Linked DNA regions of Astyanax mexicanus. The protein of the gene in region 1 interacts with the protein of each later gene in a pairwise test. Links are inferred from orthologs where the notes say so. Each region holds a gene or a part of one and is shown in the gene's direction. Other genes may lie near its edges.

Region 1 (11,622 bases):
ATCAGCTAGAAGATGAAGAAATATTTAAATCCTTCATATTAGATCAGTTTCACTCAAACCTTAAACCTTTTAACGTTATGGCTGATTGGTGCATCTTGTAAAAAAATGTTTATATCTATTTAATAGTTATAATAGTTTTAGGGTTTTGTTAAACCTCTAAAATACAGAATCGAAAGATTTAATGCAGGGTTTGGGCGATATGGCCAACATTTATATCACAATATATTTTTTATAATTTCAGTCTGATATTAATTTGAACAGTATGAAAGCCACAGGTAAACTGGAAAAAATAAAAATACCGGCCATAACGGATGCCCTATAATGAAGGTCGGTCAGTGAATGATGCTATAAATAATATGTAACAGTATGTATAAATATCAGAAAAGTTAAAAAAAAAAAAAAATAAAATGTAATAAAATTCAGTAAAATGAATTAATATTAAAACAGATTATATAACAATCTATATTGATACTGAATTACTGTCCAGCCCTAAGGTTTGGTCAATGTTACCGTAAATAAATAAAAGCTACATTAAGAGCTCACTAGCTAGTCATGTTTGCATATTCAAGTTTTTTTTTTCCAAAGTTTAAAAGGTTCAAAGTTCTAAAAGTTCCTACAGCTATTTTGCTTAAATTAGCTTTACATTTAAATTCAAATTACCAACAAAGTACCCATCAAACTCAAGAATACTTCATGTCATTGAAAGAAATAGAAGAAATCAGTAACAGAATACAAAACAGAATACAATTGATGATACAGAATTATAAGCACACTCTTTAAAACAAAGTAAAAAATATATATAAATTAAGAGCTGGCGCAAAGGGTTCTTTTGATAGGTGGCACAGAAGAACCAGGATTAAAAACATATTAACATAACGTAAAATACATTAAATGTACCATTTTGAAGGGTTTTTCTGAAACCTTTGGGCCTCTGGACTTTTTTAACCTTTACCTTTTCGCTTAACCTTCAATAATTAATAATAAATAATAATTCTTCATGCATTCCATTTACAAAAACTACTTTCTAAAGCAAAGCTTCTCATACCTTTTACAGTCAGGAACTCGTTTTTATTACATAGATTTTTCATTAAGTGATAAACCCTAGAAACCACCTGAGATACAATAGTAACCATCTAGTAACGCAAGTGAAACATCCTGAAACCTGGGATACAGTAATAAAAAACTGCCTGGAACAAGTTGTTTCTTTTGGTTCTTATTCAACCAAACTTGATATGGGTTCCAAAAAAGAAAAGAAAAAAAGAAAATGCAGAACCTCTAGCTACATATCATGGACCCAACTTTGCTCTGAAAACCACGGTTCTAAAGAAAAACCTTTCAAAGGGTATTTAGTGGTTTAAGGCCACTTTCACACCTACCTTGTTTGGGCCGAACCAACAGAGCAGGTGTGAAAGAGCAGGTGCCAAGAACCACCCAAATTTGGTCTTACCAAACACTGATCGTTTTGAAGAATGTAGTAAGTTCGGTTCTTTTTTTTCCAGGTGTTGTGTTCTGCCTCACTTTGAGTGCTGGCACATCCTGTAGTAGGGTTAATAATCTAGTTACAGTAGATACAGAAATCACCAGCATCATCTGTTGTACTCAAATTATTCTATTATTTAATGGGTGACAATAGCCTCACTGTCTCACTGCCAACAAACTGGACCATCAATCAATTGATTCGCCTCTTTGAATCTCCAGAACATGGTTTATAGAACCTTTCACAGCTTCTATTTGGGTTTTGACCAAAAAGAAAAATCTGAGCTGTCGGATTGTGGCAAAGAAGCAAAATTTGGCAGAACATCTGCAAAGACAACTGGCCAAATTGACAAAAAAAATGCTGCTGTGTGACATTTATTTTCCTTCTACAAACCAATCAATGTCATGTATAGGGAGACTCAGGTTCTTTGCCCATGTAGGGGATGACAACAAGACATGTCAAGGTGTTTTTTGTTGGGTTCAGCCACTAGACACAGTGTGAAACCAAAACTAATTGCGAAAAGAGCAAATTAACCTTGGTTTAGACTTTGGTCTGGACCTTTAGGTTTGGAAACCTAAATCGCTCTGCACTTACACTGGCAAAACAGTGGTCATCAAAAAAAAGGTGGAGATATGGAAGTTTAAATACGATACTCAGCAAACCGAACACAGTTGATGAAGTCTGTGTTGCTGTGATGCGAAGATGTTTCTGGGGAGGTACATGTTAGGGGGCAGCGTAGGGTTGACGGAGAGTCATAAATTGGCCTTAAAAAGTGGCTCTCCTAAGGCAAAGCATTAAGATCTCTTGAATTTAATATTAAGAATGTAGTGTAACTATATCTAAAATTCTACAATAGAGGAAGATAAAAACTAAACATCTCCAACATGCCTCCCGCTACTCAATCTGCTCAGTCTGCTCCATCAGATGAGCTTTAACGTGTCTGTTACACGCGCTCCGGTCGCTGTAGCGCTTCCCGCAGGTGGGGCAGCTGTAGGGCTTTTCTCCGGTATGAATCCGGAGATGAACGCTGAGGTGGCTGGATTGTCGGAAGTTCTTATCGCAGAAATGGCAGTTATACGGTTTCTCTCCTGAGTGAACCCTCAGGTGAATCTTCAGCAGAGCTCGTGAAGTGAAGGTCCGCCCACACACCACGCACAGATTACCGTCCGATAGGCCCAGGGCTTTCGCTTGACTTCCGTACATTTCCAGCGATTCCGGGTCGAACTGCTTCATCTCCTTGCTCATGTTCCCCGAGCCCGGCAGGAATTCTACATCACAGAAAGGAAAACAACTTCAGCACAGTGGCAATAAAACGGACACTTTTTCTTTCACACTTAGCCAAAAGAAAAACATAAATGTAAATGTAAAAACAAGCATTCTTCCTGAATATATCCAATTGTTAGAAACTTGTCACATTTTTTAAACACATGCCCATATTTTTTTTCTCTCTTTGTCACTTGCATTTGTCTGATGTCACTTGTATTTATTAGTCATGTTCAAAAAATATTAATATATTTGGAAATATTCAAATTTCAATATGGTGCTATGATTGGTTTGATAGTGGTTTGAACCCAGGTCATGCTGCTTGCCATCAGCAGCCAGAGTCTGAGAGAGCACAAAAATGTTCTCTCCCCTCATCTCCACCAAGGTGATGTCTGTTAGCTGATGTAATGGAGCTGGGTTGCTGTGCTTTCCTCATGCATGCTGGGTACCCAATATTGCTACATCAATGGCAGTTGGAAAGGAGGCGGTGGCTGATTTCACATGTATTAAAGGAAGCATGTGCTAGTCTTCACCCTACTAGTGTTGGAAGCTGTACTAGTGATAGGACTAGTGAGTAGGTTGGGTAATTGGCCTGCCAAACCAACACTTCATAGCATTTTTACCTTTTAGCTTAAGTGTGTAGTATACATTTTGTTTTAAAAGAGCCAATAACAAAGTTTTATTACAAAAAATCTTCTTTGGCTTTACTCCGAGAACCTTTTTGTGTAACATATTTTTACACAAAAAAATGAACAAAACATGCAACTTAGCCAGGGTTTCCTAAACATAACATGCCTGTATCTGCTGATACTGATATGATTACAGCATTATTTTACTTACGTGTTGGCAGGCTTTCGTCTTCGTCCAGGACCACCACCACGTCCGGACTTGCGTCCTTTTTTCTCAGTGCTCTCGGATTATCAGTCCTCATCTCCAGTTTCCGTTCTCGTCCAAGTCTCGGAAGTTTGTTTATTCCGCGAGCACGTTTCATATGCGATCTAAAATCAACATTTGGTAAAACTCATTAAAATCTGTTGCATTAACACACATTTATTAAAATTTGACGAGAGCAGTTCCGGTAAAACTGTAACCCTTTAACTGCCACTCTTAGTATTGACACTTATATTATACTAGCCCAGGAGTCGCTGCACAGTAAAACAATGCACCACCTTTTATGTAATTAAAAAAATATATATATTTTGCTGCATCCCAAGAAGAAAGGCATATTTGGCAACCCTTAAACTACCAATCTCAGGGATTTAAATGTATAATTCAGTAAAAAAATATCTTAACCAGTTTACAGTGAATGGCTGAAGTTGTAGCACATTTTTGAACAGAGGACTAATGATGAGATATGGTTCAACAAAACCAAGTTTATTGCATTTTTACGCTACAAAATTGAATGCAAACAAAACATGGTAGACAAATAGACAGGTATGTGTAACATCACCCACATATGCAACTAGATAGCTGCTGTCAGCATACAGAAATGTACATACAATAAGCATGGAGAGCACAATATTTCCCAAAAAACTGGTTGCCGTATGATATGTAGCTCCGCCCATCTCTAAATGTTTCAGTGGCAACAGCCCCTCCCATTTTCCATCACATTTTTTCCTCTAAACTGTCTTTTCATCTCCATTGTTTATGACAGTTGGGTCTGGGACAAAGGGGCGGGCCTACCAAATGAGTAGGCGGGTCTGGCTCCGCCTCTGGTCTCTACTGGGCAGACTCTGGTAGCAAAACCGACAAACATGGAGGACATTTCTGGAATCATTTTTATAAAATGAAATATGACAATGAGGTTATAAATATTTAAATACATTTATGTAGGACAACAAAAAAGATGGTCACACAATGAGTAAAATAACATGACGAGCTGTTTCCTAGCATTTCCATAAATTAATAAAGAATTAAAGTTTACAAAACTATAGACCTACCCATGCCATATTTGTTTAATTATCATCTTTGCTAGGATAACTAAACTATATTGCCAAAAATATTCACTTAGAACACACACAAACTTTAATAATCTTTAGGGTTTAACATAATGTTGGCCCACCCTTTGCAGCTGTAACAGCTTAAACTTTTCTGAAAAGGCTTTTCACAAGGTTTTGGAGTGTGTTTATGAGAATTATAGACCATTCTTTCAGAAGCGGTTTTGTGAAGCAGATACTGATGTTGGACGAGAAGGTCAGCCACTCAGTCTTCGCATTAACTCATTCCAAAGGTGTTTTATCCGGTTAAGTGCAGGACTGGAACAGGAATGGGCCAACACCAAACTGTCTGCACTTATCTCTTGGTCTTTTGAAGCAATTAGGAGTTCCTTTCTATTGAACTAAGGTGCCGAGCCTAAATACTGACAAATAACGCTATACCATAATCCCCCCCCCAACCAAACTTTACACTTAGCACAATGCAGACAATTTAGACAAGTACTGTTCCCCTGGCAACCACCAAACCCAGACTCGTCAGACGGAGTGTGATTTGTCACTTCAGAGACCAGTGTCGGCATGCTTTACATCAGTGTCCAATGCTTTGCACTGCATCTTGTTTGGTGATGTAAGGCTTGGATGCAGCAGCTTGGCCATGGATTTTTTTAAATAAAGCTCTCTACGCTGTACTGTTCTTGAGCTAATTTAAAGGCCAGTTCAAAGGTCTGTAGTGATTGAGAGAGAGTGCAAAATGTTGGTGACCTGTGCAACCACTGACCCTGCTCTGTCATTTACATGGAATTTACATCACTGACAGGTGACTGTGAAATATTTGATAGTGAAGAAATTTTACGATTGGAATATCACAGCACCATGCTGAAATTCAGTGAGCTCTTGAGAGTGACCCATAGGCAGAGTTATATGTTTGGCAATATAGTCTATCTAGTAACTACCGCAGTTTCTATTTTGCAGATACCATAATCCATATAGTCATAAGATACACTGAATTAAAAAGTGATATATTACTGCATATGATTACCTCATTTCAGCCGTCTTTTTAAGGGTGGGCTTCTGAACCAAGCAATCAGTCCCAGAAGACAGAGCTGATTAACTGGAGGCCCTGAAAGATTTTCCCCTCAAACTAACTGTAAAACAAACAGAAAATAAATTAATTATATATAGTTGACAATAATGTATTAAATTACATAAATTATTTTGCTTATTATAAACAGCATTTCTACCTGCAAACATTGTTAAAATAATCAGGCTGATCAATTCTGATCTGGCGAGCCTGTGTACTCACAGCTTGGCGATATATTTTCACTAAATGTATTAATTCATAAATTAATTAATTGAATTAGGTGAATTAATGACTTAGAGCAGGAAAATAGCGAAACTGTGGTGAACTAAAGCCCATTTCACACATGCATAATCAGGCACAAGTGCTTTGTGTGTGTCTGGAATGGAAATTTGAGCTACAAGTGTTTTTTTTGTCTGTATATTTCTTAATTATCCTTTATATGTGTGTTTTGTTTTCAGCATTGGTTGGTAAATAGCTTTCTGCTCTGGGACAGAAAATTACCAGGCTGAAGTGACTGAAATGCCCAAATTTGCCCATGGTGACGTGCGTCACAGACTCTTTAAAAGGTATGTAAAGTTGCCTACAGCACACTGTCCGCCATCTCAACTCATGGAGTTCCTAAGTGAAATGTACTGAACATCCTTAGAGCATCTGTGATTCTTCATGTGAGCTTATTTACAGAATGTAGGAGTGCTGGTTTAGTGCTGGAGATAAAACTACATTAGCTAATTTGTGTGTAAAATGTATTTTATGCTTCTTCAGGTCTGTTTTAAAACATTAAGCACATCAAATGCTTTAATTAAACGGTTAAATTCCTTAGAATTAGTTATGATCTTCTATATAACTTGTTCCTAGAGCTCTGGATTCCTAGAAAAAAGGTTTAAATGCAAGTTACTGCATTTCTGTGTCATTTATATTTATATATTTTAGGATTTTAATCTAAGATTTTAATAGACACTCACAGCACCCGTGAATTGGACTTTAAAAAGGCTCTCTAGACTTGTATCTGGTGACTCCTGCTCTTTTCACTAAGCTGCTGTTTTTTTTCCACTACTCAGACCAGGTTTTTATTTTTCCTGTCTAACCCGTGACACCCGAGTAAATGTGTAAAGATCATATTTTATGGACAAAAGTATTGGGACAGCTACTTATTATTCATTGTTTCTTCTGAAATCAAGGGTATTAAAGAGTATACTGTATATTGCTTTTGCTGGAGTGACTACTCTACTATCCATACTTTACTATATTCACATTAACAGAAAGCATTAAATAATTAACAAAACAAAACAAGAGTGGTATCTTACATGTGTTGTCTGTACGCGGCAGGGGGCGGACCTCACAGCTGCCTCCTCAGCTGATACCGATGATGTTTGATGACACAATCAGAACCGTGCTGTATGCAATAAGTTTACACTCCACAGCGCATTTAACTTTATATTAAGGTAGGGTTTAATTCAAAATGCAGAGCTGCAGCTAGTACATTGCTTGGAAAGTACAAAGCGGTCCCACTTTGATCACTTCCTAGTTTCCATAATCTACACTCTCAACAGGGGTTGGACAATAAAACTGAAACACCTGAGAACCGTCAGGTGTGGGAGTGGGAGGTTTCATGGCTAAATTGGAGCAGCTTGGTGGCCAATCTTCATTAACTGCACATTGCACCAGTAAGAGCAGAGTGTGAATGTTCAATTAGCAGGGTAAGAGCACAGTTCTGCTCAAAATATTGCAATACACACATCATTATGGGTGACATACCAGAGTTCAAAAGAGGACTAATTGTTGGTGCACGTCTTGCTGGCGCATCTGTGACCAAGACAGCATGTCTTTGTGATGTATCAAGAGCCACGGTATCCAGGGTAATGTCAGCATACCACCAAGAAGGACCAACCACATCCAACAGGATTAACTGTGGACGCTGTAAGAGGAAGCTGTCTGAAAGGGATGTTTGGGTGCTAACCCGGATTGTATCCAAAAAAATAATAATCCACGGCTGATCAAATCACGGCAGAATTTAATGTGCACCTCAACTCTCCTGTTTCCACCAGAACTGTCTGTAGGGACAATCAATTATTGTGGTCTAAAACCAGGTGTTTCAGTTTCATTGTCCAACCCCTGTATTTTTTCAGCTCGACTTAGCATACAGGACACTTTGTAGTTTTATAACTGCAGACTGTAGTCTATCTACATATATCTGTTTCTCCGCATACTTTATCCTCCTCCTTTCACCCTGTTCTTCAATGATTAGGACCTTCATCAGTAGTCACAGGACACTGTCCACAGGACAATGCCCAAAGCTTGCTGTTCTTGGACTATTCTCAGTCAGCAGTAAAACTGAGGTGTTTTACTGCAGTGCTGAGAGTGACTCACCATTTAAATAATATTTACTAATTTTATATAGCTGACTATTACTACTACAACAACAAAAAAAGAATAAGAGTGTTACCCTAACCCCCAGGGCAACAATGTTCCACAAAGCTACTGAAATCAGGGAAAATATTATTGATACTTTATTTAATCAGTAAATGCAGAATTAAAGACAAAATCACAACATGCAACAATGCAATGTAAAAGTCGCTGAAGGACACTTTATCCTGACATTCCATAGAATAGGAACTAGTAACGTCACCATCCATCCATGCATCCATCAGCTGCTTTCAGTGAAATTCGCAAATTCAACAAATTCAACAAAATTTGCAAATTCAACAAATTCGCAGACTGTATTAACTGGTCTTTACACAACACTGCAGTGCTGTGCGTAACAGTTTTGTTAATCAATAGACCTATGCTTCTTCTGTGTTGCACTGTTCATTAAAATCATTCTATACAGATTCCACTCATTTAGACAACTCAGAATTTTAGTTAAAAATGTCAGATTTAACAATCTCTGGGCTCGGACTTAACATGCACAGGATCCGGTAGGGTCGGACCTGACTACTGCTGGCTAGTGCTCAATTGTGTAGGTTTAGTGTCCTTTACCTGGCATCCAAAGTGAGGAGACGAAGCAGACAACTCTCTAAACTGAGTACAATATTCATTCTACACAAAATTTAACATAATCTGAATTTAAATTCAATACACAACAGAAATACAAAAGTGCCAAAATCTTCAAGTCACAACAACCACCCCTGTTTTACATTACAGAGTCAACACTAAATACAAACTGTGACTCTACTGCTAACAGCAAAAACAGAGTAAAGACAGAAGATGCGATTGCATTCAAAAGATTACCAAATCCAGTTCTACATTCAGTTAAGCGGCATATGAAACTTCACAAAGCAGTTGCTCTGCCTGGTGAAACAAAGGTGTACATTACATTTCATGCACAGAACTCTGGGTATGCCTTTGCATCCAGGAAATTTGCATCTTCCTTTCTTGCCACTCATGGTCGGCCAGTGTGACGTACAGTCCAGGCGAACGTCCGAGCACCGGGCAGACGCCGGGCATCGACTGTGCTCTATTTGGGTATTGTCTATGTGCTCATTTCCTTCCAATTCATCCCAATTTTGCCTGTAGAGGAATCAGCATGTCACCAGATTCTCCTAATTATAGCAAAGTTTATTAACTCTACCAAATGCTCAGCACAGACAGTCCGGGACAGAGTTGAACATTTATTGTTGACTAAGGCAAAGGAGCAAAAATAATGCATGTATTGCAGCAAAAGTTGGCTAGCAGTTTTGTTATGTTTCAAGCAGGTATGTAAATGATTACAAGTGCAGTCCGAGTCTCAGAAATTACTTTTAGGTAGTATACCTCTTGGTAAAAGATCCAACTGTGTTTAATCTTGTATCCAGACTAGAGGCGGAGCAACATTTACATACATACTATACTGCCAAAAGTATTCGCTTGCCTGTAATGTGTTTGGTGATTGACCTTTTTTTTTTTTTTTTTTTTTTACTTCCGTGTAATATGCCCCTCAGCATCTGCTGACCCCACTCTCTACATGAAGCCTCTAGTACCACATACAGTGGTAATTTATAACTAAATTGTAGGGCTGGGTATCATCAGTGATTTACAAAATCGATTCAGATTCACAAGGCCCCAATTCGATTCAATTTCTGATTTAATTTGAATCGTTTTATTATTGATTCGTTTGGAAATATTTCCATTACAATTACAGGTTTTGTTCAGACATGAAAGAGATTTTTTGAGAACTAAAGTTGTAATTGTACAACTATTATTAAACACATTATTGTTTTCATAAAGAATTAAACCAAGACAGTACCTTAATGTACCTTAAATGTCTCATTGAAGGTGGAAAGGAAAACAAAGGAAAATGCTAATTCGTTTAACTACTCTAACAAGCTCTATTAACATTGGTTCCGAGAAACAATACAACTTGTTAGCTACTCTAAAACTACAGCATGTCTAAACCTGCCTCATTTAAGGTGGAAAGGAAAACTCGCATTTACCGACTCCTCAAATTGCTAGTCAAGCAGGCTCTAATAAAATAACGTGAGAGAAACAACAAAACTTGTCGCTAATGTTAGCTTGGCATCTGTAAATCTGCATGTTTTAAAACTGCTGGTCTAAACAGGCCACATTTAAGGTGGAATGGAAAACTAAGGAAAAGGCTTACATATTTAACTAGTCTAGAATGCTCTGGTAACATAGACTGAGAGAAAACATAAAACTTTCTGCTAACGTTAGCTTAGCCTCTTTAAAATTACAGCATGTCTTACAACTACTGGTTTAGACCTGCCTTATTTAACGTGGAATGGAAATCTCAGGAAAATGCTAACTCGTTTAACTAGTCTAGAAGTTTCTGGTAATATTGACTGAGAGGAAACAAAACTTGTCGCTAACGTTAGCTTAGTGTCTGTAAATCTGGAGCATGTTTTAAAACTGCTGGTCTAGAAGGGCCACATTTAAGGTAGAATGGAAAACTCAGGAAAATGCTGACTCATTTTAGAAGGCTCTGAGAGTGAGTGAGAGAACACATAAAACTTGGCACTAACTAACTAACTTCTGTAAAACTACACCATGTTTTAAAAATGCTGTGCCAGACCGGCAGTATTTAAGGTGGAATAGAAAATGCTAACTTGTTAAAACTAGTCTAGAAGGCTCTGGTAACACTGAGTGGGAGAAAACATAAAACTTGCCGCTAAAATTAGCTTAGCTTCTCTAAAACTACAGCATGTCTTGAAACTACTGGTTTAGACCTGCCTCATTTAAGGTGGAAAGGTAAATTCACATTTATTAACACCTCGATTAACTAGTCGAGCAGGCTCAAGTAACATTGAATGAGAGAACAATAAAACTTAGCGCTGACGTTAGCTTAGCTTCTGTAAAACTACGCTGTATTTTAAAACTGCTGGTCAAGACCGGCTGCATTTAAGGTGGAATGGAAAACTCTTGCTTGTTTGTTAAATCCAAGTGAAATATCAGAAATTTACTCACACATATTGTTTACTAGTCTAGTAGAGTAAATTACTTTAAGTGAGAAAAAAAATTTAACTTTTAGATAGCGTTAGCTTAGCTTTTTTTTAACACTACAGCATGTTTTAGAGCTGCTGGTCTGAAACAGCTAGCTCCAGCTCTGCAGATAGATGACATTTACACAGCTGACATTATTGTAATCCCAGTAATTTAACACTTACTAATCAGGTATTACAAAAATGTTTATTGCGAGAATTTTGCTCACAAAGTTACAATATCATGTTCAAGCTAAAGTGGCACCAAGTGGCACAGTAATACTGGCCATACTGGAAAAGATAACAGCTTTATGATCAAAAAACACATCATATCATTTTGATGTCCTGTTTAATCTCTGTAAAATATCCTGTAATTACATCAAATATACCAGTTCAATCAAACAGATCCTTCTTTACAAAAAACTGTGCGAATGTAAACATGAACTAGAAAAACGA
Region 2 (10,855 bases), on another chromosome or scaffold:
GTTTCTATCACGCCTTTTTATCATGTTTGGAAGCTGGGAAAATTTGGACTGCCTGTGAGCCCTTCAGGAGCCTGTTTTTTTTTTGTTGTTGTTTTTTTAACACCTCATTGTACTTCCTCCCCTCTTTCTTTGTGCATTTGTCAGTTCAAGTTCCATTTTTGATCCCAGGAGTATATGGCAAACATGGTAGCAAAGGAAGGAGTGACATGAAAATTTGCCACCTATCGGTCAGCCCTAAACAGCAAATCTGAAAAACTAGCATTTTGTATGTAACTCAAGTGCCAGATTTTGTAAGTATAGCATGTAGATAAGTATAGTTAATGTCTATGTAGATCACAACATTTCTAAAGATTTTTTACGTGTTCATAATGTTTACAAGATTTTGTGTTCTGTGTAAGTATGTGTGCGTGAGGGGAAAAATGTGTGAGAGAACGAGATGAAGAATAATATAATTGTAATTACACAGTAGCCAAAGTCCTCCTCAGATTCTAAATCATCCTTATCATTTATCTGTACAAGTCATAAAAATTATGTTTATCAACCAGCATGGAACTATGGATGGGCAAGAAATGGATTTGTCATCAGTTTCCAGACCAAATCATAATTTAAGCAGATTGGGTTGTGTTTTTATATTTGCTAAAATATGATTAGAATACTGTCACTGTCACGCAAAAACCTTATCTCCCCATCTCCAAAAAACAACTTTAAAAGAAAGAAAAATATTTCAGCTGCATAAAAATATTTATTTGAATAGGAATTATTACTGATGGTCTAAATTTTGTGATTACATTGTAAAGAAAAACTGCCACATTCTGTCAAAAATGGCAAAAAATAACAATACAGGGTTTTGCGTGACTGTGACAATATGGTGCGGTTTGTTGCGCTGCTCACGGTATAGCTCTTAGATTCATTTATTCTGCCATACAAAAGGGAAGGCCTGGAATATTTGGTCAGCAAAATCCGCCTCAAATGACTGACCTGTGCCTGAAGACCTGAAGCTGTGACACCATTTGTATGTTTTTTAAACTTGCTAATAAATTGCTCTTGTTCAACTTTTGGAGCTAAATTCATGCAAGACTAGTTTGCTTGTTTTATATCATACTGACTACTGCCATGTGCAGTGTTACATATCCAATGATCATTTAAACTTACCAGAAGTGTGTGATATGCACAATTTTTGCACACGTTTGAATGTAGAGCAAACCTCAACATTCTGCTCAGACGTTTAGCTGAAGTAATTAAGGCACTCCAATCCAGCTCTGTCTGTGTGTGTTACGGAGTCTGACTGTCTGGTGGAAGAAGCTTTTGCAGAGTCTGGTAGTGGATGCTTGGATGCTCTGGTATTTTTTGCCTCATTTATAAAACTCTGTGTTGATTCTGGAGTGGAAGTGTGCGCACAAAAAAATTAGTGTGTATGCATACCTGAAAGCTGTTTCCCTTTTAGAAATCAAAACCTGCTTATAAATGTGCGCAGGTAACCCAGCCTCGTGTTCCATCTCCGCACCGCCCACATTTACCCATAAAAGGTCCATGCAAATCACTAATGAATACTTAAATATGGGATTCTTCATTAATTCTGAGCGGGATAACTGAGGAACGCACAGCAAAAAAAGCTAATTTTTTGGAGATCTGTGAAATAGAAGTCTTTGTTTCGGAGGTCGAGGTTTGGTGGTTTTAGCCAACACATGTCTGCAGCAGTTAATAATGAAGTTTCACAAGCTACATCTGCGCACATTTCCCAATGACTGTAAACACCTGTAATTTAGACATTTATTGCCTGATTCAGTTAGTCTCTTTAAATCTGCGCCCAGCCTAAATTGGTTAATTAACCACTCAGCATCATTCACAAAATTCAAGTAATTCCAAAAACGCCATTATAACTGAGTGCATCACTCTTTTCTGCCTATTCATAGAGCTGTAATGTTTTGCTATTAGGTACAGCTGTTTCCTCCCTCTTTATAATGGATTATAATTTGTAGCAATAATAATAATATTAATAATAATAATAATAATACTCTTTATAAATATCACCTTTGGATTTTACATTTGTGGAAAAAACTAAACAGATAAGGTAAATGAATTTAAATAAACTGAAATACACAAGTTTGCATAAAAACATACATATAGACAAGGATGTAGGAGTGAGCTTGATATTGGGGGGACACATTTGCCAATATGAACCCAAGCCCACCCTATAGTTTCTAGAACAACATTTGTGGAAATTACTTTTAATTGAAAGTAAATTATTATTATAAGGTGATTTTACAACCTCAACATGTTACTCCACATTACAGCTACTGTTGTTAGAAAAATTATGCAAGCAATGTCTGAATTATGTACATATGACAAAAATGATTAGTTATCACCTAATATTCATAATAATAGATTTGTTTATTATTGTTTATTATTATGCTTATTCTTATTATTATGTATTGGCATGTCAATTCTGTTGTATATTTACATTTTCTCCTGTGCTTTTATTTTTTTTTCTACTGAGAGCTCTTCGTAAGATGGTGTCCTTTTATGTAAAAGAATGTAACTTTACGTTTCATAGAGATTTTTATAAACGTCAGGACATGTGGTCTTACTGTGAACTACAAATGACCAGAAGTCACGTTACAGCAGTATTTCTCAACCCTGTTCTTACATATTCTACTGAATATTAACACTGTTCTGCATATTCTACAGCTTCCTCTGCTTTAAAGGCACTTAATAAAGTTAGTGGTGGTATGATGTGTCTAATACACTGCTGGATATACATGATTAATTTAGGCTCCATAGGGGACTAAAGGATTTGAACAGGTAAACTCAGTAAATGACTGTTTATTAGCTGATCAGCTGGATCAGGTGGAAAGCACAATTTTGGGGCAGTGATCAGGGTTAAGAAACTGCTCTAAACTACAAACAAAGTACTGTACTAAATTCCAGCTATCCACTACATCTGGCTTCTAGATAACTAGTTAGCTAAATTAATTTTCGTTAATTATAGCTCACAGTAAGTCCTTTAATGCTAAATTAATAAACACAGTTTGAAAATGAAATGGTGATTAGCTGATCAGGTACAGGTCAAGTTAAACATTACATAAACAGTTGACTCCCAATCTAGCTAATTCCAAAGTTAAGCTAACCCACTAACACAGCTGCAGTTTATTAATCACAGTGGGTTTAAACTGTGTGCTGATTCAGAGACGTGTTTTTTAACCAGCTATCATATCTCCGTATATCCATCTCTGTTTTAAAATCAGCTGAAGCTGCTGATCCCGGTCCCGCTGCTAAATCTCACAGCGAGGGGGAGGGGCTTCCCCAACAGCACACTGCCTCTTCTCCGCGCGACGCAAAACCAATAGTAATAGTACAGCTGAGCTTAGCGAAAAGATATCCTTTTTGGGGGGGACAAATCCACCTGTTTCTAATATCCCTCCCGGTTCCTACGCCAATGCATACAGATCATATAAAGCAGAATAAGACACGGAACGCATTGATAGTTTATTCATGCAGACAAAAATATATTTACACAAGTAAGGGTTACTCTTCCTTTCTTTGTCTTGATGTATGCGGTATGAATGAATATGCGTGAGGATAGGTTTGCGCATTTACTTGCAGTTCCGTACTTTACCACATGATGTCACTAATTTCCTTCTCCCCGCAAACGCTGCCTTCCCGCTGTGAAGCTCCAGCTCATCCCATATCACCCTCTCAGCTAATCAGGTTTAGTTCAGGGGGGTGTGGGGGATAAACACACTACATTGAAAATGAGGTCCTCCCTCAATGTAAACCTGAGTGTAAATAAAGAATGATTATCATTATGATGAACCAGAGAATGGCCCTTTCAGACAGCCAGACAGGCCCTTCTTACTCAGCTAATCTGCATTTCACTGTGAGACTACTGATACCAACTGTCTACAGCTCTGTTCATTTATGGGTCACTTTAAAAGGGGTGAACATTTATGCAATAATTTAATTGACATTTTACATGTATTTTATTTCATTTATGTTACTCTGAAGACATCTGTTTAAAAGAGTTTTTATTTTAAGTCCTTTAAAATAACAAAATTACACTGACATGCCACATGTCATGGGACAGGAATGCCCAGCAGCCCTCAATTAGAACAGTAGAAACTTACCAAATTCTAACAGTTCTTTTTAGGTTCTTTTCTGCTCATAATTATTTAGGCCAGCCAACTGGATAAAAATAAATGCCTTACATTTGTGTCATACTATGTTACTCTGCATGCTAATGTTTACAGCTAAGTCATTTTTAAAATGACCTCACTGACTGACATGCATTAAGTAGCTGCATTAAATATTACAACGACTGACTTTAGAAAACAGAATACAGAAGTAAACCACATATTACTGATTGAATTCACCATTTCTCCTGAATAGAGCTCAACTCAAAGACTGGAGCACCTGTGGGTGTCCCCGCCCATAAACTAACTCAGATTTGTTAAATGCAACATTTTTCTACAAATTATATGTTAATAAAAAGTATCAAAAAATACATTCACTACTCTTTGGCAAAATTACAATCAGGTATCCATACATTGAAACCCCTTAAATTTTTAAATGCTAATTAGTAACACAATTTCACTGAACTGGGGCAAGGTTGATGTAATTTTTAATACGTTGCAGTTTGCACAATAAACAAATTTTACATTTTGCAACTGATTTCTGCAAATTCTGACTAATTCCTTCATGTATTGTGTATTTTTCATGAGAATATGTAAATCCTATAGTCATTTTTTTTACAATTACAACTACAATAACTCTCTTATTATTTCTATTTTTAATAACCTGTTGATTTTTTTGCCATACATCCTGGCCCAGTGTTTTTTCCTCCCAACTGCAAACTGTTCGATTTAATTTTGTACTTGTGTGTTCTAAACAGCTTTTTGATCAGACACTGTTTCCATGCAAAAACGGATTTGCAGAATGTTTTCCAAATTTTGGCACCCTTCAAATCGGAGTATGATACTAATACATTTAAAAAAAACCCAGCCATCTACATAGGGTACCATGGCAACTACGAAGCAACACCTGAGCGACCACTACTTGCAAACAAACACAATTGTTTTCTAATACATTGCTCTTAACAAACAAATATAACACGTTTTGCAAATACAAAAAGCATTAAATAAAACATGATTTTCAAACATTACCGTGTTATGATAGTTAACATTACCAGTTATGACATAGGACACTGTTACACCTGCTTTCATGCTGAAATACTTTGCATTGGTGTTTGGTTAGATATACTGTAATTCTACCTCCTTTATTTAAATGCAACAGCTAGTGTAACCTCTGCTTATATTATCAAAATTTATATCCCCACAGAACTCGTTTTTAAAAACGTTATTCAGCTCTATTCAAAAAAGGTGTGGTTATTGTAAAAGAGCTGGTTATGGGCGGGGCCAATAACAGACCGTCAGCTCCACTCCGCTCTGCAGCCTGTGACCGCGAGGCAGCCCTCAGGGGCGGGGTTATTTAAATGAGTAGGCTGTCTCTCCACAGTCTTTCTCCCTCCTCTTGTCTCTACTGCGCAGACTCGGGTATCAGGATCGGTAACATGGCGGAAGATTTTGGCTTCATTTTCATTGAATGAATGGGAACGGCGACACGGCGTCCATATTTTTTTTACAGTCTCTGAGCTATACACAGTCTATGGTGTAAATTAATGCACTGGGGAGCGCTGGACAGTAGAGCTTGCTTTGCCGTGCAGCCACTTCTTGTAAACGAGGTTGGGTGTATTTGTGAGAAAATCTCAACACGAGTTTGCGACTCTGCTAAAAGTGTGCCAAAAGTCACGTGATTTACAAATGGGCTGTGCGTGTTTGTAAAATCATGACACAGTAATGTTTGAAAATCATGTTTTATTTGTTTTATTTATTGCTTTTTGCATTTGTAAAACGTGTTATTTGTTTGTTAAGAGCAATGTATTAGAAAACAGCTGTGTATTTATTTAAAGTTTACATATATATTTACAACTATCAGGTTTTGTGTTTGTAAAACACACCCTGTGTGTTAGATAGTTAACGTACGTTTTGTATTTGTAAAACGTGTTTGTTTGCAAATAGTATCATATTTACAGAATACGTTTTCTTTATTTGCATAGTTTTGGCACTAATTTAGCTCCATAATTCTGACTGGTATTTTGTTCTATATTGTAATATTTGATTCTACTTTCCAAAACGAAAAAAATCTCCATTCACCTCAGTTCATTCAGGACTCTGCTGTACTCGGGCAGACATGGGCGGGGTCTCCATAAACCGGCGGCTCTGTTGAGGCTCCGAGTTGAGGCTCTGATCTGCGCAGTAGCCGGACGGAGAGAGTGCGTCACGGTCCCGCCTCACAGAAAGCCGCGCCGGTAAGCTAAAGCAGCTAACCCTGGTTAACTAGCTCAGTTACATTTTATTAACATTTGGAAGTACATAGGTTTTATACGGATAGTATAACTGCTCATTTTATTACCTATCGGTACACTCTTGTTAACGTGGAACTTCAGCCTGTTCGCCTTTCTTTTTTATGTAAAGCACCCTGGAAGCTAAGCTAACGTAGCTAACGTTACTTGTCTAGCTAGCACAACACAGTTCACCATTAACTTAAGCTGAACTAGCTGTTATGGTTTGCTCAGTTTAACCTAAAGAACTAACGTTTTGGTGTTGCGTAAATTAGGTTAGTTCAGGTGGAGGTTGTGTCTGGGTCTAAATGCGGGACTTGACGGCGTTAGTCAGCGAACGTTAGCTGTCTCTCCGGCCGACCGCTCCATGTTTCAGTCCGAGCCGGGAAGAGTCGGTGTTATATCGTGTTGTGCAACCCATCTGTATGTGCTACTTAGCAACTCTGCGCATGCGCGTATATAAATAATGTGTGTGTGTTTTTTAACCATATATATTGCCTTGACTCCAGTTAAAGTAATTTAGACTATCCAAATATCATACCGACACTTCTACTGCCAGCATGTTCTATTATTTTGTATTTTTACAGTTTAACGTGAACTAGGGCAGCACGGTTTGACAGGGAGCAGAACTTGACAGAACACCGGTCACAGAGCTAACAGCTTGTCGGCTAACCTGTTAGCGGATAGTGTATTGTTAGAGATAGTCTGCGTTATCTCTAACTCTCCGTTCATTCAATTGCATTTCATTTGTTAACTACCCTCCAGTTTTCTACAGATAATGAGAGAGAATAGTTATTTATTTTGTTAGCTGTTAATGAAGCAACATTAGCACATTTCATCTCCTGTTGTAGAGGGTCGGTTTCCATGGACACGCCTTTCTCAGTGCCCCGGATGTTGAGTAAAGACCCCTTACAGAATATTGGCGGATAATGCGAGCAATAAACATATTAAAATATTTATTGTATCAGTAATATAGATACTAATTAGTGATGTTCGATGTAATTGAATCGATTAAAAGGCACAAACAAATATATAAAAATCAATGTAAAAAGCTTTTATCTTATCATGTATTCGGGTCCATTTATCATGAGATTTTGACACAATTTAAAGAACAAATGCCAGATTCAAATTATGTAAAAATGAAAGACAAAAGCCCAAAATGTTCTTTCATCTACATCAACTGTTTGATCAACAAAAGCTTCGCATAAGCTTGAGTTTAATTTTGTTTTACATCATTCAGAGAGAAAGGGGAGCAAAGAAGGCCAGGAAAGAAGAAGAAAAATGGCCAGCCAGTCAATGGAGATTGTAGCGAAGGCGCTGGAACAGCAGATGCTGCACTCAGCACGGCTTGTTGAGGAGCAGCTAGATGCTGAGCTGGATAAGTTGGAGCGAATGGATGAGGATGAACTGGAATGTCTGAAGGAAAGGCGGCTGGAGGCCCTAAAGAAAGCCCAGAAACAGAAACAGGTGGGCACAATGGTTGGAGATATTGTGTTTTTATAAAGACACTGGCATGCCATGTTGATCTACTGTAAATGGTAAACCATGCTTAATACATATTTGAAGTTACTTGAAAGAACCATGTACAACACTTTAATAAACAGTTGTTGCTGTAAAACACCAAAATAAGTATAAGCTTTAAAATTTAGAATGTAAAATGTTATTAATGCTGTTCTTCTATTAGGAGTGGCTATCTAAAGGTCATGGAGAATACAAAGAAATCCCGAGCGAGAAAGACTTCTTTACTGAGGTCAAAGAAAGCAAGAGTGTGGTCTGCCATTTCTACAGGGACTCCACCTTCAGGTTAGTATGTTTATACCAGGCTTCTGTTCTTAATCTGGTCTTTTGTACTCTGTAATGTTTCTACTTAAAACAGAATCTTAAAGTGTACTTTATTTTGTGCTTGGTATAGAACATGTTTCTAAAAGGCATCAATAACACTAATTTTGATATCTCTGTGTGTATTATTTTGCACAAATTATTTTTAAGACAAAACCAAACTTGCATTGGTTTCTCTTGTTGATAAGTAGTGAGAGGTAACCTATAGGTTTAAGTAGAAGTATGCATATTAAATATACTATACATATCTTAATACACTTTTTATTCAAATTTGATAAACTTGTTTATCTCTTCATTAAAGATGCCAAATTCTAGACAAACACTTGCACATCTTGGCAAAGAAACATCTGGAGACAAAGTTCATCAAGTTGAATGTGGAAAAGGCTCCGTTTCTAACAGAGAGGCTCAGGATTAAAGTCATCCCCACGCTGGCTCTGGTGAAAGATGGGAAGACTAAGGACTATGTAGTGGGCTTCGGCGATCTTGGTAACACAGACGAGTTCTCTACTGAAATGCTGGAGTGGAGACTGGGCTGTTCAGACATCATCAACTATAGGTAGATAAACCACTTTTTTCCTTACACACGTTTTGGGGGTGTAATGTCCACCTTGTTAATTCTGTGTACCATACAGAGTTTAAAATAAAAGTCCAAAGTCCGTGTTCAGTTACCCGCCTGAGAAGGTGTCAGAATTACAAGGTATCTCCTAATACTAAGACAATATCACTGTAGTGTGATTCTGCCATACTCCATACAGGAATTATGTAGTTTCACAGAATTTATTTAAACAATATTCAGGTTTACCCTATTTATTTGATTGGTTCCACCCCCTCCCCTGAGTTATAAACATGTAGGTAGCATGTTCAGTGTATTACCCCTACACATTGAACGTGCTCTATATACCCTACAGCTGTCCAGAACACTGACTTCCCCACCAATCCTATATTCAAATTTCCCTATTAAACCTGATGAGGATCGTTTTCATTTTCTTTTCAGTTTTTCTTTTCTCATACAACATAAAATAGAAGTATGCCAAAATTTCCATGAAATGCTTTCTGTTAAAATTTCATTGAAAGGTTTATAGTAGAAACTTTTGTTTGAGATTAGGTTCTGCATCACGTTTATCACATAGATGCTTTAGTATTCTCTTTATGACTGGATACACCACCACATCTGTACTAAACTGTGTTTTCTCGTGTTCTTTCAGTGGGAATATCATGGAGCCACCTGCTATTGGACAGAAACCAGCATCAAAGTTTACCAAGGTGGAGAAAAAAACAATCAGAGGGAAAGGCTATGACTCGGACTCTGAATCTGATGATGATTAGAAAAGACAAACATCTCATTTTGTTTCTCAGGGCTTTCTACAAAAAAAGTACAAAGTCTTGTAGTACAAACTTGGGTTATCATTTTGTTTTTGTTATTTAACATTTGTTTATGATCACTTTCCTTTGATACACTAATTATGTACTATTTCGATGGAATATAGCTTTGTATACATTTAATGCATACATATACATGTATACATGCAAATGTGTAAATGTATACACTTTATGTATACAAAGATATGTGTATTCATTATTAATTGTAAGTAAATCTCAAAGGATTTAACTTGGACTGTCAAGCAATAAATTTGATCACTGTTTAAATGTAAGAAATTAATTGTTTGTCATTTTTCTCAGCAAGCAGGGGTTTGGTAACTTTTTGCAAAAAGCAATGTAGTCAGTAATTTTGGATGAAATGCTTCAAGAGGACAGCACTGATTCCAGCTTGATGGTGTAGCAGATTCAGGAAATAAAGACTTTAAATTGCTTGTGTTTTAATAAACCTGAGATCTGGTGGGGGTCCACAAAGCAAAGTCAATAAGCTGGGCTTTGTGAGACAAGCGTGGGTCATTTTGCTCAAATTCAGTTCCATTAAGGAACACTTAAGCCTCTATCAGTTACTACAGCAACATAGATGTTTGGACAAATGTGCTCCATACCAGACAGTTCAGCTTGTTCACCATGAGCCCTGTGATGTCATTATTTTATGTATTTTATTACATTTGCACATTTAGCCCATTAGAGGAATATTTTATTCTATGAAATGTTCAAATTACCTCTAATTATTTTACTCCATGTATAAGTTTCACGTATATAATTCAGTTAAAACTTTAATTTATTAAGGCAGCCATATTAAAATTGTATTATAATTAATTTATTAGACCTTTTAATACAGAAAATATTAAGCCAGGGATATTGCTAAATTGTGGATAACTGGCTTAAATGAGGCTTATTCAAATAAGAGTGCCTTTTATCTTAAGTCACATTGTACCTGTCACACATTTATGTTTGCAATATCTTATTCTTTAACATGATGTAAATCCAGGTACGTCTTTCACACATTTAGACATCAGTAGGTTTATTTTTTATCCGATTAGTGTCATGTTTAGTTCATTGTCTAAGGTTTTGAAAAATGCTTTTTTCCTTTTACAATCAACAATCAATTAAAATTGACAGGATGAAGCATTGAGTGTGCACCTTCTCATCTATTTTATTGTTCTATTATTTTCACTTAAAATTAAAAAGTTGTAACGAGCTCCCTTTTTGTTTTGTTTAGATAATGTTTTAATATGCACA
Region 3 (10,594 bases), on another chromosome or scaffold:
GTCGAGGAAGAGCAAACTAGCAGAGAAGTGGCCATGAGGCAGCAAGGTGCTTGGATGAAGTGGGAGCAAGCAATGGAGATACATGTCACCTGGAAGGACATATGGCAGTGGAACCAGCATAGGATCAAGTTCTTAATTCAGGGGGGTCTACGATGTTCTCCCAAGCCTCTCTAACCTGTGCACCTGGGGCAAAATGGAAACGCCTCAATGCTCTCTGTGTTCCAAAATAGGGACATTGGAACACATTTTAAGCAGCTGCTCGACAGCATTAAGTGAGGGCCGCTATCGATGGAGACACGATCAAGTCCTTAAATCCATTGCTGAAGCAATCAGTAAGGGGATCAAGGACAGTCGATGCACCAGAGTCAAAGCCAAAGCCAAAGCCAAAGCCATTCAGTTTCTCAAAGAAGGACAGAAGCTGGAGAGAACACCAAAAAGATGCTCTGATGGTTTGCTATCCACGGCTCGAGACTGGGTAATGTCAGTTGACCTGGAGAGGCAGCTGAAAATGCCACCACACATCACCCAGTCCAAACTAAGACCAGATATCATCTTGGTCTCTGAAGCCACAAAACACTTGGTCCTGTTGGAACTGACGGTACCTTGGGAGGATAGAATAGAGGAGGCACAGGAGAGAAAGAGGGAAAAATATCATGAGCTGGTGGAGGATTGTCGGAGGATCGGATGGAGGACTAGATGTATACCAGTGGAAGTGGGCAGTCGGGGGTTTGTCAGCTATTCCCTGAATAAGGCTTATGGCACACTAGGCATAACAGGGGCCAACCGGAGAAGAGCCATCAATAGCAACGCGGAGGCTGCAAAGAAAGCATTTAGGTGGCTCTAGCTAAAGAGCGGTGAGAGGTGGGGGCAGCAGATTGCCACTTGGACACAGGCCGGGGTCTGATCAGCCTCGGTCGGGTCGCGTGGATGAGGGAGTCACGCCCAGTGACTCCAGGATACAACACTGATGATGTGTCCAAGTTGGTGCATCAGAAGACGTTTCGATGACTAACAACTCAATAAAATTAAGTATGTCTGCCTTAACAGAAATTCATTACACCTTAATGCAACTTAAATTCACTGTTTTTAGACAAATCAACTTAAGATAACTAATTTACAACTATTAAAGTAAAATAAATAGGCTGTAGTTATAATTTGAGGAAACCTGATTGCCTTCAATTACTTATGTTACACTAACTCCAATCAAACACTTTAAACAAACACTTTTTAAAGAGCTATAAATCTTGCTATACATGCAAGAAGGCAGCACATTATTTTTGGGTTAGTTCGATTTTATCAGCATAAGTGATGCCAGGTTTCTGTAATATTTAAATTATGTTAACTTAATTTGTTCAGCAGGAAATGCAGTTAGGTTTTACAGTGCAGGGATTCTGCAAAAAGCAACACTACAGCAATTCTTTTAAACAGCAGTCTATTCACTCTCTCACTGACAGGTTTGGGTGTGGTAATCTGCTGGATGAGGGAGACGCGGTCCTGCACAGGTTTGCTCAAGTTCACACTGCGACTTTCTTCTCGAATAGGACTCTCAATGAGCACAGTCTCTTCTACACAGAGAAAAAAAGGGATGAAGAAAAAGAGAAAGAGACAAATTACAGATATTTAACAAGCCTTTTTTGTATCATGTATCTGCATTATTTAAGTCTAGTGCAGCGCAACTGTACATTTGTAACACTCACTTGGAGTTTGGTTGGTAAGGCCTTTCTGTATAGAATCAAATGGCATCTTCACACCATCTGTGGGAAACCTTTGAAAAATATGCAGGATTGTGCAGGATTATTTCCATGTATTTAATAGCACAGTCATATTAAGGAATGTGAAGAACATTCACATGGCATTAAAGTCACATCGAGACCACAGAAAGACAGAAAAACTGAATGCTAAGTTAGTTAATTAGTTGACTATCTTAGCCCTGTACAGCTTGTACCTTAGAAAAACACTACCATGGCTAGATGCAGCTTTTTATGGCTCTAAACATGGATCTTCTGTAGCATCATTTTTTATTTAAATTAATTGAATTAAAGAGTGTTGTATTAAAGAATTATATGTATAGTTTACCTGATGTAGTCGTAGAGCTGATGCCAACTGCTGCCCTTAGGCACAGGGAAACACATCTCTCTGGGCATGGGGGCTGTGCCTTCTGGCAACATCACACCAGCCTGTCGGAACTCTGAGAACGACAGGCCTACAAAGAAAGATCGTAAGAGAGCAAGAGCAAGAGTTACAATGTTAAATTGTGTTTAAAACTACTTTATAAGAAAAGTATTTTAATTAAGAGTACCTGGGTCCAGCAGCAGGTCACTAGTCTTGAGGTTTTTCACCGTCATATTGGAACAGAGTTTGATGCTCTTCAGGTGACTGTGTGTTTTGTTTAGATAGACAGAAAGCACATACCGCAGGTCCATCATCAGACATGTCCAGCGCACAGACGCCGGTGCTGGACCCACCAAACCTGAAGCACACATCAACACCACAGCAGTGTGGACTGTTAAAGCACTGTTAAATATACAAAAACTTATATATGGGCCCAGACGTTCTATCAGTGTAACTTGGTCACGATTAAATGTAATTAAATTATTGAAGAGAAAAAATTTATAAAGTAAGATCCTTTAATTTATTAACTTAATAAAAAACATATATCAATCATGTCTCCAATTATTTTCTTTGCTACTGCAAGTGATTTTATTACGTGTGTTTATGAATTAATTTTAGCACATTTAAAAATAATAATAAACAAAGTAAGAAAAGAACAAATTTCTTCCGAAAGGTAGTGTTTACCATGTTTAGCAGATTTGGCTGTGGTTTCATAGACAGAGCCCGAAGCAGCTCCACACAGGAAGGGAAACTGCAGCCATGTTGCCGTAGACTTAAATTCCTTGAACAGGTTGGAGAACGATACACGGATCACCTGACCTTCCTGAACCAGAGTAAAAAAGAAGTTAAACAGTTAATTCACTGTTTATTCATCTACCTAAACTCACATTAGTCACGGAATATTATAGATCTGGGCGATTATGGTCTAAAAAAAAAAAAAAAAACGTTTTTTTTTTTTTTTCCAATTATAATTTCCCCCTACTAAAAATCAAACTAAAGAAAATGGTTTAAGACCCTGAAGTTTTTAGAAGTGGTAGGATTTAATTCTAGCTAAATATAGGCTTTATTCCACCGGGTGTTTGTGTCAAAAGTGCTGAAACAGTGCTGGAACGATTTACGGTAGGAGCTCAGTCCTTGGCGGAATGTTTAGAAAATATGCGCGGGTTAGTCTGTTGGAGGCGCCAATAACCAAGATAAGATGGATAAACACTTCAGAAATGAGTAGCGTTTTCGGATATTTTAGATGAAAACGATAAAATAATCATGAAAATCACCCAGCACTAGAATATTATAATGCTCTCTGACTACTCCTTTTTACATTACTCTCACCTCAGAAGCAATGTCCACGTGCACTACAAAGTGTTTACTGGGGCTGGGTCTGAACAGCAGGTAGAGGTAACGGCCTGTGAGCCCCAGTGATTGGCTGCTGGTTCTGGGCAGGAGAATATAGTTGCTGGCTGGAATGGAACCGCGAATACGGAACACCGAACACTTCAGAGTCTTGTCCTTTACAACACCAACAAAAAAACAAAAAACAAAAATTAAATTAATCAATAATCAACAATATCAATGTGTTACCCCAGCTGACCACCAATAATGACAGACGAATGTATGATGTATTCTTATTGAATGGAAGTCATGACGTTGAGGTACCAAATTTAATTTGCATCCTAATTTAACGTCTGTACAACAGCTTCATTGTAATTTTCAACTAAAATTCAACGTCTGTCTGATGTTAGATTTCAATTTCTTGCGTTAGACTGATATCCACTGCCTTCAGTTATAGGATGTTACTTCACTGAAAGACATAAACACTTGATATGACAGTAGAATTTTACCATGTAGGTTGTAACATCGCCTTCTTTGCTGGCCTTCCTCCATTCCTCCAATTTTAGGTGCTTAAAGACATTAACATAAGGATGTTGCCATGCTAGAAGGAAAAACAATGTAAACACAGAGGATAAGAAAAAAAGAGATTCAGAGGATATCAATATTCACTTGTTCAAGATTACGTAATCAGGAATAACAGTATATACAGTGTACTTCAATTAATTGTATTTTATATAGAAATTAAACAAAAAGATTATTCAAAAAGTACAGTGAGACTCTGGTCTGTATATAAACCAGGTACCTAACAGGAAATGTTGACATAATGTAAAGAACACATTTTGCATACACATTACGAACATAAATCATTACACAATGTTATTTAATTCCATCCAGCAGGTGTTTCATTAACTAGCCATAGTTACCATCCTACTGTAAACTAGTTAACCTAACTATCTAGCCAGTTATCATTGTGTAACAGTTGAGAAAAAAACTTTGACATCTATCAGTTGAAAAAGATTACCATGTCATTTCTAGGGCTTTGAGACTTCAGTGGATCACAGGGAGAGCTGTTATTCACAAATGGAGAAAACATGGAACAGTGCTAAACCTTCTCAGTAGTGTCTGACCTACACAATTACTTCAAAAGGCCATGGACAACTCATCCAGGAGGCCACAAAAGAACCCAGAACAATATCTACAGAACTGCAGGTCTCACTTGTATAAAGTATAAAGATTTGATTTCAAGTAATTTTAAGCATTTCCATTGATCTATTCATCAGGAAATGTTGACATAATGTAAATATCTGATTTCACATACACATTATGCACGTAAATATTTATACAATTTTTTTTATATTTGTTTCAGTAGCTAGCTAGTTACCATCCTACTATAAACTAGTTAGTTAACTTACCTGGCTGGGTTATCTAGGCAGTTATCATTATGTTCACTGCAAGTTAAATGATGAGGGTTCTGCTGACAGTAGCTAACTTGTATTGACAGTGCAGCATACCCAACCTAGATTAGTTATTTAGAATAAGTGCTAGCTAACTAACAGTGTGTGTAAGTCTTACCTTTTGAGGACATTGTAAACAGACCGAGATTAGCAGATTGTAAATGGGTTGATATCAGCAGGCTAAAAGCACAGACGCTAGCGCTGAGTTAGCTCTAACTTTCACAGTTAGCATATATAAATAAATATATCTATTTGTTTGTTGATGTGCTCCGTTCCAGGCCAGCGTCACATTTTAAACTAAAATCCTTCATGTCTCAGGAAGCTTCATATCCTTCGCAGAAGTTTGTTTGTGTTGTTAAAGTGGTTAAAGTGCTCTCTCTCTCTCTGCGCTCCGGCTGCTCATGTTTTGTTGTCAGACTCAGGTCTCCTCCCGCTGCAGCAGCCGCCGCTTTCAAACGGCACTACGCAGCGTACCCGCAAGGCATACTGGGTAATGTAGTTAATACACTGATGTACACTCACCATTTACATTATAGTTTCAGTGACATGTTTAACCTTCACACTGTTTTATTTTCAAGAGCTTTTTTATTTTATTTTTATTATCTATTTTTAGTACAACACTAGTACAAATGTACAGCTATTTGTGACTATATTACTGCGACATAATTACAGAAACATTGGATTGGAGGGAAGAAGGCATAGCAAAATACAAACAATAAAAAGTAAAAATTACATACAAATTCCAAAAATAGAGCACAGGTTCCATATTTTAACAGATTACTGTTTACAACCAGAAAAGGGCATCAAATAGCATTCCACATCTTTGATAAAAACAAACACAGTATATGCGTCAATATATATTGCCAAAAAATGTAACCAAAACACAGTTTGGGTGCATACTTCTTTTTTGCGGTTGTGGTTATTGTTGTTATCATCTTTCTGTATTATGTTACAAAATAGAGACATCAAAAACAACAGAAACAAAATAATAAACCCTCTTTATTCCCACTCCCCTTTCTAGCACATACAGTCCAAACCCATAAACACACCCACATACACCTGCGTATAAATGTGTACATACACATAATATTGAATGAATAAATAAAAGTGTGCAAACATTTTTGAATGCAAAAGCTTCTTCCTGCTGAATTTTGATGATCAAATTAGTTTACTATATAATTTTAAGAAAACATAAAATATATTTAAATAAAATAAAAATAAAACAATATTACGAAGCATGGGCATTTTAACATTTAAGTAGTCTATAGTTAGTGAAACATTTGATTAATAGCTTAAAAATATCAAAAAGTTCCCTTTCCTCACAGGCAGAAACTTCCCTTGATTTGGTAGTTAAAGTGTGAGTAACTTAAAAAAACAAATGTATATATATATATATATATATATATATATATATATATATATATATATATATATATATATATATATATTGACAGATTATATTTTTCATTGTTAAATCGTGTTTTTACCATTGCATCCCATGAAATCTCCGTAATCCGTTCTACTAAAATGAGAATTTCTGCTTTGCGGTAAATGATTTCCAGTCAGTTTGTCCTCTTGCGCTTGCCGTAGCTCACTGTCGCTGCCATAGAGACGGCCTGGGCCGCAGACGCTGGGTATGTGTGTTTATTATCAGATATAAATTTGCTTTTTAAACATTACTTACAGGATTAACTACTAAAAAAAGAGCTAAATATATATCCTATGTTGGCTGTGTTTTGATACAATGAGTAAATACGAGCAGAAGTCTAATGCTGCTAATATCTGCACTTACGAGCAAACTGTGGCCCAGGTAATCTGATAACCGTTAGTGAAGCTAACAGGTAACCAACCTAACCTTACCTAATCGAACCTAGCTAGCTAAGCTAACGTTTTAATTCAGTTTAGACTCTGAGTATTAAGAAATATATACACTAAAGACAATGACTGTGAGAGTTGGGTTAAGTTACTAGAGAGTAAGGGTTAGCTAGTTAGCAAATAACAGACCAAGTTTCAGTAAGGTTATCGCTGTTTTATAGCTGTAGCCCACATCTAGCTATTAACGTTACATCTAGGCTGGATAGCTTGGGGACACTAGTAGTTAACACGCCTAAGCTTGCTGCCTCTTCACAGTGCCACACTAAATATCCTTTATGAATAATGAGAACAGTAACCTAGGTTATTTAATATCATAAATGTTCCCCCTAGGCCTGTCACCATATTAAAATTGTGCTTAATTATATTTATTAATATATTTATCGTATGCTGGAAAAAGACCACAACGGGCCGACTAAGTTACTTTAAAATTATATAACGTTAGTTGATTTAAGCATTTTTTGATGATGATGATTATTATTATTATTATTATTTAGTCATTTTCAAGTTTCAATTGATCTATTGTTCTATTTAAACTGCTTATTTAAAAAGAGGGTTTAAAGCTGTGAACAGTCTGTGGACCAGTTAGACAAATACATGTAAAAAAAAAAAAAGAAAAAAAAAGTAAAATCAAAATGTGTAGTGTGTAGTCAGGGTGTGTAGTCTAGTCTCTCTGTAAGTTATAAATATGTATATGGGCATTGGCACATATATAGATTTCGGACGTTTACATTGACCCAGAGTTCCAATTCAAAAAATATGAAATTGAGATGTTAGAAAGGGATTTATTTCTTAAAGGAAATGTATATAGTTTATTGTGTATGAAACCTAAATCTCAGAAATAAAAAGGTGTACCATTACAGGTGTACTATTTAGATAATTAAGTATTTTGTTTTTATTTATTTACGTTTTGGAATATACTAAAAAAATATAGCTAATGTATTTTCTTTTAGAACAACAAAGTAGTGGTTATTCTGTGTAATTTGCTCTAATGTATATAAGTTGGCTGTAAGAAACATTTTTAAGTGCAAAATCATTTTCTATGTGAGCTGGTATTTCAGATGTACTAGGATTAGGATGGATTAGTTGTAGACTATATATTCCTTTTGATGTAAAATCTACAAAATCAAAATTTTATGTAGTCCTAGATTAGGTATAAATCCTGTTTGGGAAACTGCCCTTTTTACACTTCATTTTATTCCAAGACTGGATATACTTTCTTAGTGGCTCAAATTGTTACTAAATTTGTTGTTGTCTTTTTCCATAGGGGACTGAGGAAAGCCTTCAATTATTGGTAGAGAGATATTTGGAAAAGGAGAAAAGGCAACCATGTCTTTCAGAGATCTAAGAAGTAAGCATGATCAAATATATCAAATTATTGCTATAAAAACCAACAAAGTAAAAACCTGTTTAAAATGAAAATTAAAAATGGCATTCAACAGGCACAATGCAAAATGAGTGGCACATAGCAAACCTTGTGTCAAAATGTCCTCAATTGCTGAGTGACCTTCTCCCCCCAAAATATTTAAATCTTTGCTACAGGTCCAAAAATAGTGAACAAATGTGCCCCTCTGTGTCTGGCAAGTGAAACATAGATCTGATCTCTCTGTATCTATCCTGTGTAGTCATACTGGTAATAAGTAGATTCTGTGCATGAACTTCATTTTAGGTTGCACAGGCTTAAAATTAAGTTCATGCAAATAAATTGAAGTACACTGGGGATAAAGGTTTACACAAGCAGAATCCCATAAGTTTTGCTCCGATTCCATTTCCAAATCTTTCTGTCAAATACCCTTCAAGTTTAGCAAAGAAGACAGAGATTCGTTTGACAACATAATGTATTCCCTGTCAGATTCATTCACAACCCCCATTATATAGTAGAGATGTAAGGAAATGTCTAATTTAAAGATATCTGGAAAAACTATACCTCTTTAGAATATTCCAAAAATGCAACAAGACCCCAGAAAACAGAACAGAAATCTGTGTGATTCCTTGACTAAACCAGTTAAGGAATCCTGTCTCATGCAACTGAGAGGGACATTTTGGATTAAGTGCAAATGGGGAAGACCAAAAGAAACGGTTAGGTATTTCCAAATCAGCAGAGTGTTGGATATACCAAAAGAATCATAGACCCTTTTCAACTTTTCACATTATGAATAAATGGTAAAAGAGGGAGTGAATGTTATGGACTTCATTTTAACCTGTAATGAGTCAGTCCTATTGGTACACTTGCTTATAATGTGTTAAACCTGAGTTGACCAATAATATAATCGCATGTTTGGTAGCAAGAAAAAGACAAGAAAAAATATTAATTCTCGAAATATTTATCCTGCCAAGCAAACATAATAGGAGAGAGAGCACCAGATACCCAGATCAAGGGGGGATAGTTTTTAGGTGTTTACAGCAATTACCAAATAGTTAAATTCAAAGCCTTTTCCTAAAATTGTATCTATCTATCTAAAATATTGGCATCTGAGCATGTGCAAATGTGTAGTCTGTGTGAGTGTATTTTCTTATCGTTAAACCCAGTTTTTTGGTAAACCTAAAGAAAGTCATGTGCATTCTATTGATGATTTCTTGGATCTGATGAACTAATAAAGCTTTATGTATGCATTGTTGTGAGCACTTGTTTGCTAGTTTGTGTGTTATTGTTTGTTGCTGCAGGTTTTACAGAAATGATGCGTGCCTTGGGATACCCTAGACTCATCTCCATGGAGAACTTCAGGGCTCCCAATTTTCCCTTAGTGGCAGAGATACTCATCTGGCTTGTTAAGAGGTTGCACATTAATCTCTTTGGTTGTGTGTATGTGTTTGTAAGAGTGTATGTGTTAGCAACTTAAGTTAAAGGAGAACTCCGGTCTGAAATGGACTTTTGATATTGTAAAAAAATATAAAGGGTACTAACCTTTGTTGAATAGCCCAACTCCGTTCTCCCGCAGCTTTTCGAGATCCAGCAATTTTGTGCAGTTTGTCCAAACCGACTGGAATGGGTTTTAATGGGCCATATTTTGCCCCTGCAGATAAATCGCTTTTTACACCTTTGTCCAGGCTCAAAGTAGCTCCACACCTCATTGATAGAATCCGGAGAGCCCTGACATTTAAAATTAGTCATTAAGAACTTTAAAAAGTGCACAAGAAGTTTATTAAAACCACTGTTTACAACTTGTAGCTTAACCTACATCTCCAGGCGCCGCCATCTTAAAGTAAAGTCATGATCAGTAGAGTGACGAGCACGTAATGTTGACAGAAGTACATGCTGTATACATGAGAAAGACGTGGCCAGGATGTGTGCTGTGCTCAGACTGCAGCTTCAGCCAGCATAACAGAGGAAAAGGCGAAGGGAAAAGAAGACAGAATGGTTCAGGTTTGTGCCTTTCCAGGTTTCAACATTACGTGCTCGTCACTCTACTGATCATGACTTTGCTTTAAGATCGCTCCATCCGGAGATGTTGGTTATGCTACGGGTTGTAAACCATGTTTTTTATAAATTTCTTGTGCACTTTTAAAGTTCTTTATGCCTCGTTTGATCAGGTCAGGGCTCTCCGGATTCTTTCACTGAGGTGTGGAGCTACTTTGAGCCTGGATAACAGTGTAAAAAGCGATTTATCTGCAGGGGCAAAATATGCCTCGTTAAAACCTAGCCTGTTTGGACAAACTGCACTGCTAGATGCAGATTGCTACAAAATTGCTAGATCTCGGAAAGCTGCAGGAGAACAGATGTGAGCTATTTAACAAAGGTTAGTACTCTTTAGCATGTTTTACTACACTCAAAGTCAATTTCACACTGGAGTTCTCCTTTAACAGCACTTGCGAGTGTGTAAGTGTGT

The links.
Region 2: the proteins of myog (region 1) and txndc9 interact in binary tests that used the Homo sapiens proteins (3 or more experiments, as listed by UniProt). The two-hybrid records come from large-scale screens. The link is inferred for Astyanax mexicanus from reciprocal best matches to the Homo sapiens genes MYOG and TXNDC9.
Region 3: the proteins of myog (region 1) and cluap1 interact in binary tests that used the Homo sapiens proteins (3 or more experiments, as listed by UniProt). The two-hybrid records come from large-scale screens. The link is inferred for Astyanax mexicanus from reciprocal best matches to the Homo sapiens genes MYOG and CLUAP1.

Annotation. Positions count from the first base shown.
Region 1 is NC_064431.1:20,021,899-20,033,520, forward strand, and holds the start of myog (myogenin), read left to right. Parts: upstream 1-6,213; 5' UTR 6,214-6,321; intron 6,322-7,059; exon of another isoform or gene 7,060-8,985; intron 8,986-11,622. Other genes in the region: zinc finger protein 205-like, read right to left, coding at 2,372-2,745, 3,581-3,738, 5,714-5,718. UniProt on the Homo sapiens protein: Acts as a transcriptional activator that promotes transcription of muscle-specific target genes and plays a role in muscle differentiation, cell cycle exit and muscle atrophy.
Region 2 is NC_064418.1:24,877,146-24,888,000, reverse strand, and holds txndc9 (thioredoxin domain-containing protein 9), read left to right. Parts: upstream 1-6,244; 5' UTR 6,245-6,364; intron 6,365-7,637; 5' UTR 7,638-7,678; coding exon 7,679-7,864; intron 7,865-8,081; coding exon 8,082-8,200; intron 8,201-8,537; coding exon 8,538-8,792; intron 8,793-9,441; coding exon 9,442-9,562; 3' UTR 9,563-9,892; downstream 9,893-10,855. UniProt on the Homo sapiens protein: Significantly diminishes the chaperonin TCP1 complex ATPase activity, thus negatively impacts protein folding, including that of actin or tubulin.
Region 3 is NC_064413.1:14,770,801-14,781,394, reverse strand, and holds the start of cluap1 (clusterin-associated protein 1 homolog), read left to right. Parts: upstream 1-6,448; 5' UTR 6,449-6,529; intron 6,530-6,587; exon of another isoform or gene 6,588-6,736; intron 6,737-8,034; 5' UTR 8,035-8,096; coding exon 8,097-8,118; intron 8,119-9,431; coding exon 9,432-9,543; intron 9,544-10,594. Other genes in the region: wdr90 (WD repeat-containing protein 90), read right to left, coding at 1,453-1,565, 1,698-1,765, 2,077-2,203, 2,300-2,470, 2,797-2,935, 3,442-3,618, 3,951-4,042, 5,014-5,026. UniProt on the Homo sapiens protein: Required for cilia biogenesis. Appears to function within the multiple intraflagellar transport complex B (IFT-B). Key regulator of hedgehog signaling.